Nothobranchius furzeri: one gene and its partner. The main gene of each other region encodes a partner of the protein of the gene in region 2 in a complex. Links are inferred from orthologs where the notes say so. Each region holds a gene or a part of one and is shown on either strand. Other genes may lie near its edges.

Evidence for each region.
Region 1: ints1 (region 2) and ints12 share a complex: the UniProt entries of both Homo sapiens proteins name them as parts of the integrator complex. The link is inferred for Nothobranchius furzeri from reciprocal best matches to the Homo sapiens genes INTS1 and INTS12.

The regions. Positions count from the first base shown.
Region 1 is NC_091746.1:80,674,819-80,679,269, reverse strand, and holds the start of ints12 (integrator complex subunit 12), read right to left. Parts: upstream 3,046-4,451; 5' UTR 2,919-3,045; intron 2,664-2,918; 5' UTR 2,656-2,663; coding exon 2,500-2,655; intron 1,475-2,499; coding exon 1,325-1,474; intron 1,113-1,324; coding exon 931-1,112; intron 819-930; coding exon 659-818; intron 580-658; coding exon 430-579; intron 1-429. Other genes in the region: gstcd (glutathione S-transferase C-terminal domain-containing protein), read left to right, coding at 3,420-3,833. UniProt on the Homo sapiens protein: Component of the integrator complex, a multiprotein complex that terminates RNA polymerase II (Pol II) transcription in the promoter-proximal region of genes.
Region 2 is NC_091745.1:5,274,810-5,279,296, forward strand, and holds the start of ints1 (integrator complex subunit 1), read right to left. Parts: upstream 3,049-4,487; 5' UTR 2,952-3,048; intron 2,644-2,951; 5' UTR 2,586-2,643; coding exon 2,531-2,585; intron 2,458-2,530; coding exon 2,167-2,457; intron 2,073-2,166; coding exon 1,876-2,072; intron 1,675-1,875; coding exon 1,537-1,674; intron 1,458-1,536; coding exon 1,298-1,457; intron 1,214-1,297; coding exon 1,108-1,213; intron 1,021-1,107; coding exon 834-1,020; intron 1-833. UniProt on the Homo sapiens protein: Component of the integrator complex, a multiprotein complex that terminates RNA polymerase II (Pol II) transcription in the promoter-proximal region of genes.

The DNA of each region.
Region 1 (4,451 bases), on a different chromosome or scaffold from region 2:
GAATGAGTCTGCAATTTTATACGTAATGTTTTTGAATTCATAACTAATATTTAGGGTTACTAAATTCTACTAATGCTTTCTTTTAAGGTGGTTTTATAGCAGGAAATAGCTGGTTACTAAAAGGCTTTTAAAAGGTGATAAAACTGATTTCATGGTACGGTACTTTGGGTTAGTATTTTAATTTCTATTTTATTAACTTAAAACAAATGTATTCTAATTGGTAAATGATCCCTAAAAGGTCTTAAACTAATAAGATTGAATATATTTGACACTAAAACTGCCATATTGTCTGAATCCAAACGCAGAAACAAATCTTCTAAACAATTAAGGAAAGAAAAGGAACTGTTCCTGTTGCTTTTCTTACCTCTAAACCCCTTACTGGTTAGTAGAAACAAGACTGAGGATGTCATTTTTAATTAAAATACTCACACACACCTTCACCTCTGTCCTCTTGAAGGCCTGGAAGGTGCTGGTTGTATCGGTTTTAGCCTTCAGCTCTGTCTTTTTCACCAGCGGGTCTTTAACAACCGGTGCTGAAGATGCAGATGCAGGGGATGGTTTCTGAGGAGGCTTCTGAGCCTGGTCAACAAACAAACAAACAAACAAGTTAGTTCATCATTAAAAAGGTGATGCAGGATCGTGACTTGATTTTCCTCACCATCCGTTTCATTTGCCTGGTGCAACGGGCACAATACCACACAAGCCGTGGGTCATTCACTTCCTTATCAGTCACTTGAGGTTTGTGGCAGTCCTGGTGGTAGAGATTATGACACTCTTGGCACTCCACCAACTGGTTTCCCATGGTCACCGTCATTTGTCTGAGAGAATTAATTATTTAAAAAAAAAAGACTGAATTTCTGCTTAAAATGGTGATCTGATTAATTTGAGGGAATAACATGCTGACAAATCTACACGATTGGCTACTCGTACCTGCAAACCACGCAGGCCAGACCCATTTCCATGGCAAAGTCGTCAGCGTTTGTCTCGTCGTAGTCGTTTATGTTTGGTAGGAGGTCTTTGCTCGTCTGAAATGTGATTGGAGAGGAGCGGTTCTCTTGTTTCTCTAAACGAGGCTTTTTGGGGGGGTCCACTTCGCTCACGTCAACCCTGGCCTGTTTTTCAGCAAAATACAAAAGGAAGTTTGACTAAATCACACAAACAAAAAACACCTGATCACATATTTAAATCGGATTCTGCTTTAAAGCTTTAGAGTTATATAATATGCACTTTTCATTCATTTGTGCACTTTTACTTCCCAATTGAACAGCAACACGACACAGATTACTGGGATCATTAGTAAAAATTGGAAAAATGTCTTCCACACCTTCTCTGATGACCTCTTCTCGCCTTCTTTCTTGCCTTTCTCTGAGCTGGATTTACTACTTCCACCGCTGCTGCCAGAAGAAGAACTTGAAGACTTGGGCTCTTTACTTAAACTCAGCTTTGACACGGATGCCTTTGACACTTCCACCTCCTGAGGACAAAACAATCACACAGAAGGCACAAGCACTTGGTTTTAAAACAATGTCATACGAATGACATTAAAGAGCAAGTCAGCCCCCCCCCCCCCCCCCCCCCCCCCAAATTTCTTTCTTGCTGATAAACTATATAAATGAGTGTCTAATCATGCTGTAGACACTTGTAGTCAATAACTTGGCACTTTGGTGCATCTTAGATAAATTTAAATAATCTGCCTAAAACTGTCAGTGTTACGTCGTCTTCAGGTAAAAACTCTGCCATTGCTATTGTCTAAGAAGTACATTATGATGTCACAAAGTCATTGTGAGCCTGTGTGTGTATTTGTTAGTGGCTCCACCCCCTCGGTCTGCCAGGTAACAGCATTTGTTGCATTTTTCAAACAGGAAGTGGGAGTGGAGTAAGACTCTGGTAGGGGGTGACTTGCTCTTTAAGGGGATTTCTCTACACTCACCTAAAGGATTATTAAGAACACCACACTAATACGGTGTTTGACCCCCTTTCGCCTTCAGAACTGTCTTAATTGTACGTGGCATTGATTCAACAAGGTGCTGAAAGCATTCTTTAGAAATCTTGGCCCATATTGGTAGGATAGCATCTTGCAGTTGATGGAAGATTTGTGGGATGCACATCCAGGGCACGGAGCTCCCGTTCCACAGATGCTCTATCGGGTTGAGATCTGGTGACTGTGGGGGCCGTTGTAGTACAGTGAACTCATTGTCATGTTCAAGAAACCAGTTTGAAATGACTGGAGCTTTATGACACGGTGCATTATCCTGCTGGAATTAGCCACCAGAGGATGGGTACAAGGTGGTCATGAAGGGATGGACATGGTCAGAAACAATGCTCAGGTAGCCCGTGGCATTTGGGGTTCAGGAGATTGCCTTGACCAGGACCACACCCCAAAATGCACTGAAGCAACCGCCATGTGATTGATTGATTAGATAATTGCATTAAGGAGAAGTTGAACAGGTGTTCCTAATAATCCTTTAGGTGAGTGTATATGAGAATGAATTATCTTACTTTTTGTGAAGAGCGATAAGAGGAATCGCTGCCTCTAGCAAGGGACTCATCAAGTAGAGCTTTGAGCTTCTCAGCTGAATCTTTGCTCTTGGAATGTAGATAACTCAGTCCTTTTAGGAAGATGGGATCCAGCTCCAAACTGACAGGTCCAGCCATCGCTTCCACTAGAAATCAAACAATAACAATTCACGTAATGCTGTGAATTAGTATCATTTCATCAAAGTAAAAAGAACTGCCGGCGCCTATAAGCCGAGTCCCACCGATCCAACTGCTGTGAATGACTTTAAACATTGGCAAATATTTGGTTTCTGAGTAAAAACAGGAAGACGGACTACAACCACAGAAGCACCGCGGTAGTTACCGAGGTCGCTTTATAATTCTAAAATTGAAGCTCATAATTATCATAAACACAGGCTTACCCGAGACTGGGTGTATTTTCTGTTTTACCGGAATATTTTCTTTCTATTGAACAACGGAAAACTGAGCAACACTTCCGTCGGCGTTTCGTCTTCACATTTGAGTAACCGACAAATATGTCCGGAGTCTGCAAGGGCGGAACGTTTTGCGAAATTTGTATTCGCGTTCGCGTGGTTATTATACTATTTTGGTTATAATAAAATAAGTATTCATCCCACGTATGTTTTCCTTTGCGGTACATATTTTGTACATAGGTGTTACTCTTTCATGAAGAGAGTTTTGAAACGTTTGAGAAGACCGCTGGCGGCGCTGTGGAGCTATGCTAGTGAAAAAACAGCAGAAGAAGAATCACCAAAACACACCGGTCCGCCTGTTTCAGGTAAGTCATTTTTCTTGGGTCATATGTTGAATTTAAGTAATCTAGACGTAAAAGTACCAACAGAGAACACTAAAACAATGATAAAACTAACTGATTGTTTTACTGTCCTTCTAGTTTATTTACAATGAAGCACAACGAGAAAAAAGAGCAACATCTCTCCCTCTTCTTAGAGGTTTGTTCCCAGAACGAGGAGCTGCGTCTCCCCCTGCACACGTCCATAGTTATGTTTCTCCTATCATACTGCGAGTGCAAGTCCTTCAAAGTGTTCATGGTTTACACCAGTAGCTGCTCGGACGCTTTCAGGAGCCAGCTCCCAGTGCCTGTTGGTGTCAGCTGGGTCCAGCTGGAGGATCTGCCCCAGCTGGTGAGGAGCTGCCGTCTCCCGGCAGCGGTGGATGAGAGCGGGCGCCTGTGCAGGGCAGGACTAGCCGTGGTGCTCAGGCACATTATCATCAAAACCACTGAGGAAGACCCTTCCAGGAAGGATGTTCTGGAGCTGCTGGGTTTCAAAAAAACCTGCTTGAAGGCCTGTGCGGAGGTCAGTGGGAGACAAGCGTCAGCTTTTGGGTGTCTGGGGAAATCAGGTGTAGAGATCCACTGATATGGGGTTTTCAGATGCTGATACTGATGCTGATATATGGGGGTCATGGTCAGCTGATGGCCGATATTTGCTACCGATGTTCGCGGCCGATAACTCGACATTTTCCACCTTATTTGCATGCTTAGATGTCACTGACAAAAACATGATGCACAACGTTTCTGAACATGGATCCGTTGTTGAACTCTGAATTTAAACAACTCTTGTATCTTAATTTTTTTTGCACCGCTCGTATTAAAATCAAACATTTAGCCAAAGGTAATCGAACAAATCATAAACTGACCAAGTCTTAAATAAAAACGGGTAAACAAAAAATACTTCAGTTAAGAAGAATGTTTTTAAACATTTATTAAGTAGATCAGGAACACACACGCACATTTAAATAAAATCCTGCAGCAGCACTGGACTGCCTGTGGCTGTTTCAGTTTTTAAATCGGCCCCTCTAAACGGGTGTATCAGCTGATGCTGATTTATAAAAATATGTCGGCCAACAAATATATTGGTCTATTTCTGACGTGGAGGTGCAATTTTTACATCATAATGTAAAATTGCATTAAT
Region 2 (4,487 bases):
AGCGCGGGCAGCAGGGGGCAACGCCGTCATTGGCTGCCCGCTGATAAACGGAGAAGAAAGTGATGCCACCAACAGCGGCAAAGCCCTGAGGAAGACTACAGTGACGGGAATAAAGCGTAATGCAAACACCATTTCAATGTTTTTTTTACTCAAATCCAAACGAGTTTGTGTTTTCATCACATTTAGCACGTGTTCAGTTTAAAATCTCCTCGTCTTTATCCATGCTATGAGAATTCTTGTTGCATTGTTTGGAAAAATAATCGACGTAAAAATTCTCTGAAAGGTTTTTATAAACAGTTTTTTTTTTTTGCACATTAAATGTTCTTTAATGGAATTTGATGTTTGAGAAGTCTTTGTTCACCTGCTATGTCTCAGGTATGTGAGGACGCTCAGAAGCCACCGCTTTGACACGCATGAACAGCAGACAAAAATATAATACCCCTTCTGATTTCACACTCCCAAAGCAGGTAAGAAAATGTTTGGTAAAGTCAGCCGCTGCTCTGCATTAAGATCATAGCGTGTTCAACGGTTTTAACATTAAAGATGAAATCTGAGCTGAAGCCAGATTGCTAGCACTAATCATTTCTGCATGTTCTGGACAGAAAACTGGTTAATAATTAGATTTAATCACAAAGTGTTGCTTATTTTCATTTCCAAACAAAATACTTGGGTCCTAACTCACCTGCACCAACGGGTGTTTAGTTAGCTTTCACGTCTGGTTTCTGGGCCAAAGCCAGACACTCCAGTTGTGTCTCCGAACTTCTGACGAACGCTCTTGCACAGCTAAGATGTGACAATGAAAAGCATCCCCTCCACTAAACCCGACTCCTCACCTTTGGGTTCTGGAGCCACATCTCCAGCCTCTGCACAGCCAAGTAGCGTGCCTCTTTGTAGCCGCACGTGGCTGTGAGCAGACGCAGCAAATTGCGAGAGACGTTGTCCATCGGCTGCCTGCGGTTCAACTGATCCCTGAGGACGTCCAGCACGTAGTCCTCCACGCTCTCGGCTAGCTCCTCGTACCTGCAGCAAACAAGGAAAAACTATTTATTTCAAACGTGAAAAAAGGAAAGTTAACTTTCAAAAAAATAAATGTTGTGAACACTCTACCTTGGCATAACCTGCCCTTCATCCTCGGGACTTAGCTTCTCTTCTGCTATTAACAACTCTGTCTGAGTGTCGTCTTCATCTGGGATGGAGGGATGAGGGCTGTTGCCTGAAAATCAGACACAAAAAACAAGCAATGGTCTAAAACTGAAGCACTTTAAACAAATCGCAGCAACTTCAGGTGAAGCTCCACCTGCGCTGAGATCTCCAGCAGTGCGACCGGTATCAGCCTGCAACAGCATACTCTTCGGTGGCATCTTGGTACTAAAAGCTGTCTGGATGTTGTCAACAAAATTCTTACAGTGACAGCTGTCGACCCAGATCCGCTCCCCCAGCGAGTCCTCGATGTACACCTAAAGAAGAACCATTTGTACCAAAACTCACTTAATCGACACATTGTGTTGCTCCAGCTAATTTCCTGAATGTTCTCACTTTCACAAAGATCTCAGGCCAGTTCTCATCCTCTTCATAGGCCGCCATGAGCAGATTGCACGCCAGGACCGACACCAGGCTGTTGCCTTTTGCCTTAAAGTTGATCGAAGCGTCGCGGCGCAGGAGGCTGCACAAGGCCTTTAGACGAGAGTGAGACATGTTGAGAATAAAAAGAACCGAGTTTAATTCCATCTGCAAAACTGAGTTCAGATGAGATTAGAATTTTTGTTTTCATTGTCGGGCGTCAGTAATAACTTTACAGCTTAAATTGTGACAACGAAATCAAATAAAACGTGTGTAATTCTACTACAGACGTCTCCACCGGACAGAAAGTCTCACCTCAATAATTCCTTCTGTTGCAAAAACATTTGGCTTGATTTTTGCCAGAAACATGAGGCTTAGGTACAGAGTGATGTCAGGCTTGGCTCTGTTCATTTTCAGCTGTTTCACGGCTCCACATAACAACCCCTCGATGTGATCATCATTTCCCTCCGACTCTGCAGCTTCAATTTCGTCCAGCAGAACTACCGGAGACACTGTAGCGAAAAGAACCATCTGTCAGAGTTACACAAAGGTTTGCAATAAAGGACGTCACTGCTAGGAGTGACAAACACAAAGCTGTTGTTTAACCTTCAATAGGTACAACTGATGGCTCCTTTATCGAGGGTGATATAGCCCTCTTGTCCACTGCTGCAACATCAGCCAGCCGTCCCAGAGCACTGACAGGAGGGGTGGTGGATAATTTGGATCGCTTGGTGAGGTTGGACAGACCCGATGAGGGTGGCAGGGTAGACGGGGGCTCTCTCTTACGGTCAGGAGGTAAACCTGTGGACGCTGGCTTCAGGAGGGCTGGAGGAGGTTTGGGTTCTGCAGCCGAGCTCTTTGAGCCCAGAGCGATAAAATCTCCTGGTGGAGGATGACCTGAGACAGACAGATGTCACGTTTACGCCGGGTTCAACGAAGGCACGGCTCATTGTTGCTTAACGGCTCAAACCTGAAGTTTTAGCAGTACTGGGGCGTCTCACAGTTGTCGGTTTAGCTCGATTCATCTTTACAGGCAGCTGCTGCAGGTCACACAGGAGTTAACATGCCTTGGTTTGGATGAGCCTAAAAACGTCACAAAAGCACTTTATTATACATAGCTGTGCCGTTTTAGACCCAGACTAGCAGAAAATAGATGTTGAGTCTAATTAGACAGCGCGTTGTACTTATAATTTATGTATTACATACAGAACAAATATAAAAGACGCACAAAACCTTGGCTAACACTGGCAAGCGTTAGCCACCGGAGCTAACTTTCCAGGAAGGAAAGGTTAAGCTTTAACAACAGACAGCGTAACGTAAACATCTTAAAGGTATGTACAATGTATCATACTCTCACAAAAGTATGAATTCAACGTAAAAATCTTACTCACAAATAAAAATAAAAACAAAACACGAAGGACTGTCGCTGTGGTTCTTATTCTGTTGTATGAAGTCGCCGCCGGTGGGAGCAGACTACCGCCATCAAGTGTCGGGGTGAGGTCATGAACAAAATATAAGGATCAACCAGGGAACAACCGATGGGAACAACTTATTTTCCCCCGTTATGCATCATTTATTGTTACTTTGTGTTGTGTACGTTTTTTTAAACAGTCTACCAGCTTTTTCAAAGATGTATCAGCTGATGTATTCCACCAGCTGAATATTTTACGTAGAAATTATTTAACGGCGGAAACTAAATAACATTCTGGGTCACCTGATGCTGATACCTGTCCTTATCCACAACGTCCAGCAGATGGCAGTGTAACCCCCACTCTCTTTCCACAGTCACAGCTCACACAAAGTAGAACAGACATTATTTTGTCTTGTTTTTGCTCCGAGAAAACCTACAGGAGCTCCTGATAAGTTGCTGAATGAGTTATATCTACTAAAATAACTTTCACCGTGTGTGCGCACGGTCCCGTTGCTACAGTTACGTCAATTGCAACATTATGTATCGAGTCGTAGTATGACTTCCGGTAGGTGTCTTCAAAATAAAACATTTGCGTAAATAGTGCTTATCTAGGTTAGCCACTAGAGAGCATTAACATTTAAATACACATAAGAAAACTTATATAATTTTCTTAAATTTAAAAAGCAAGTGCATATAGTAATTAAAGTTTTCACTTAATACAATTAATCAAATGTAGACACTTTTTATATAAAATGATATTTAAATATGGTTCATTGAAATGAAAAGCTTTCAAGAAAAGTAAAGTATCTCAGAATAAAGATGTCAACACTGCTGCAAAAATGGTCGTCTTGCAGCAGCTTCTGAATAACCTTTCTTTTACTTTGTAATCACAGTGAGTCATGACAGGGATGCACCAATATGAAAATTTTGGGCCCATATCCGATATTACCGTTGTTATGGCCGATGACCGATATTTTCCAATACCAAAATAGATTTACACGCTGACATGTATGCTTCTGAAATCATGAGAGTTTGTATAGACTGAAAATTATACAAGCTGAATTTTGGAATGTTTCACTTTATTTCTATAGAGTGCAGCAAACTATATGTGTGTGCGAGTTTATTTTACTGTATTCACACACCACACCGATTTTTGCTTCTGAGATGATTACCATCCCTGTCACATGACTAAACAATTACACATCAGCGCCCCCTCACCCTCTGAAACAAACACACAAAGAAAGATAAGATGGAAAAAATTATTAGTTGTTAATATCGGCACAGTTTTACTTTACTTTACTTACTTTGATATGTTAAAAAATGACCATTATTATACTGTGCATCCCTAATGACTAACTGTCATGGCACCATTTAAAGTTCAGTAGGTCAATGAAACAAATTGCCAGATGTGGTAAATGCTAATTTAAATATTACACATGTACACAGAGAAATAAACAAGACATATTGTAATTAGATTGTTTTCTTTTTTGGTAAGTTCATCATGTAAAAGTTAAAG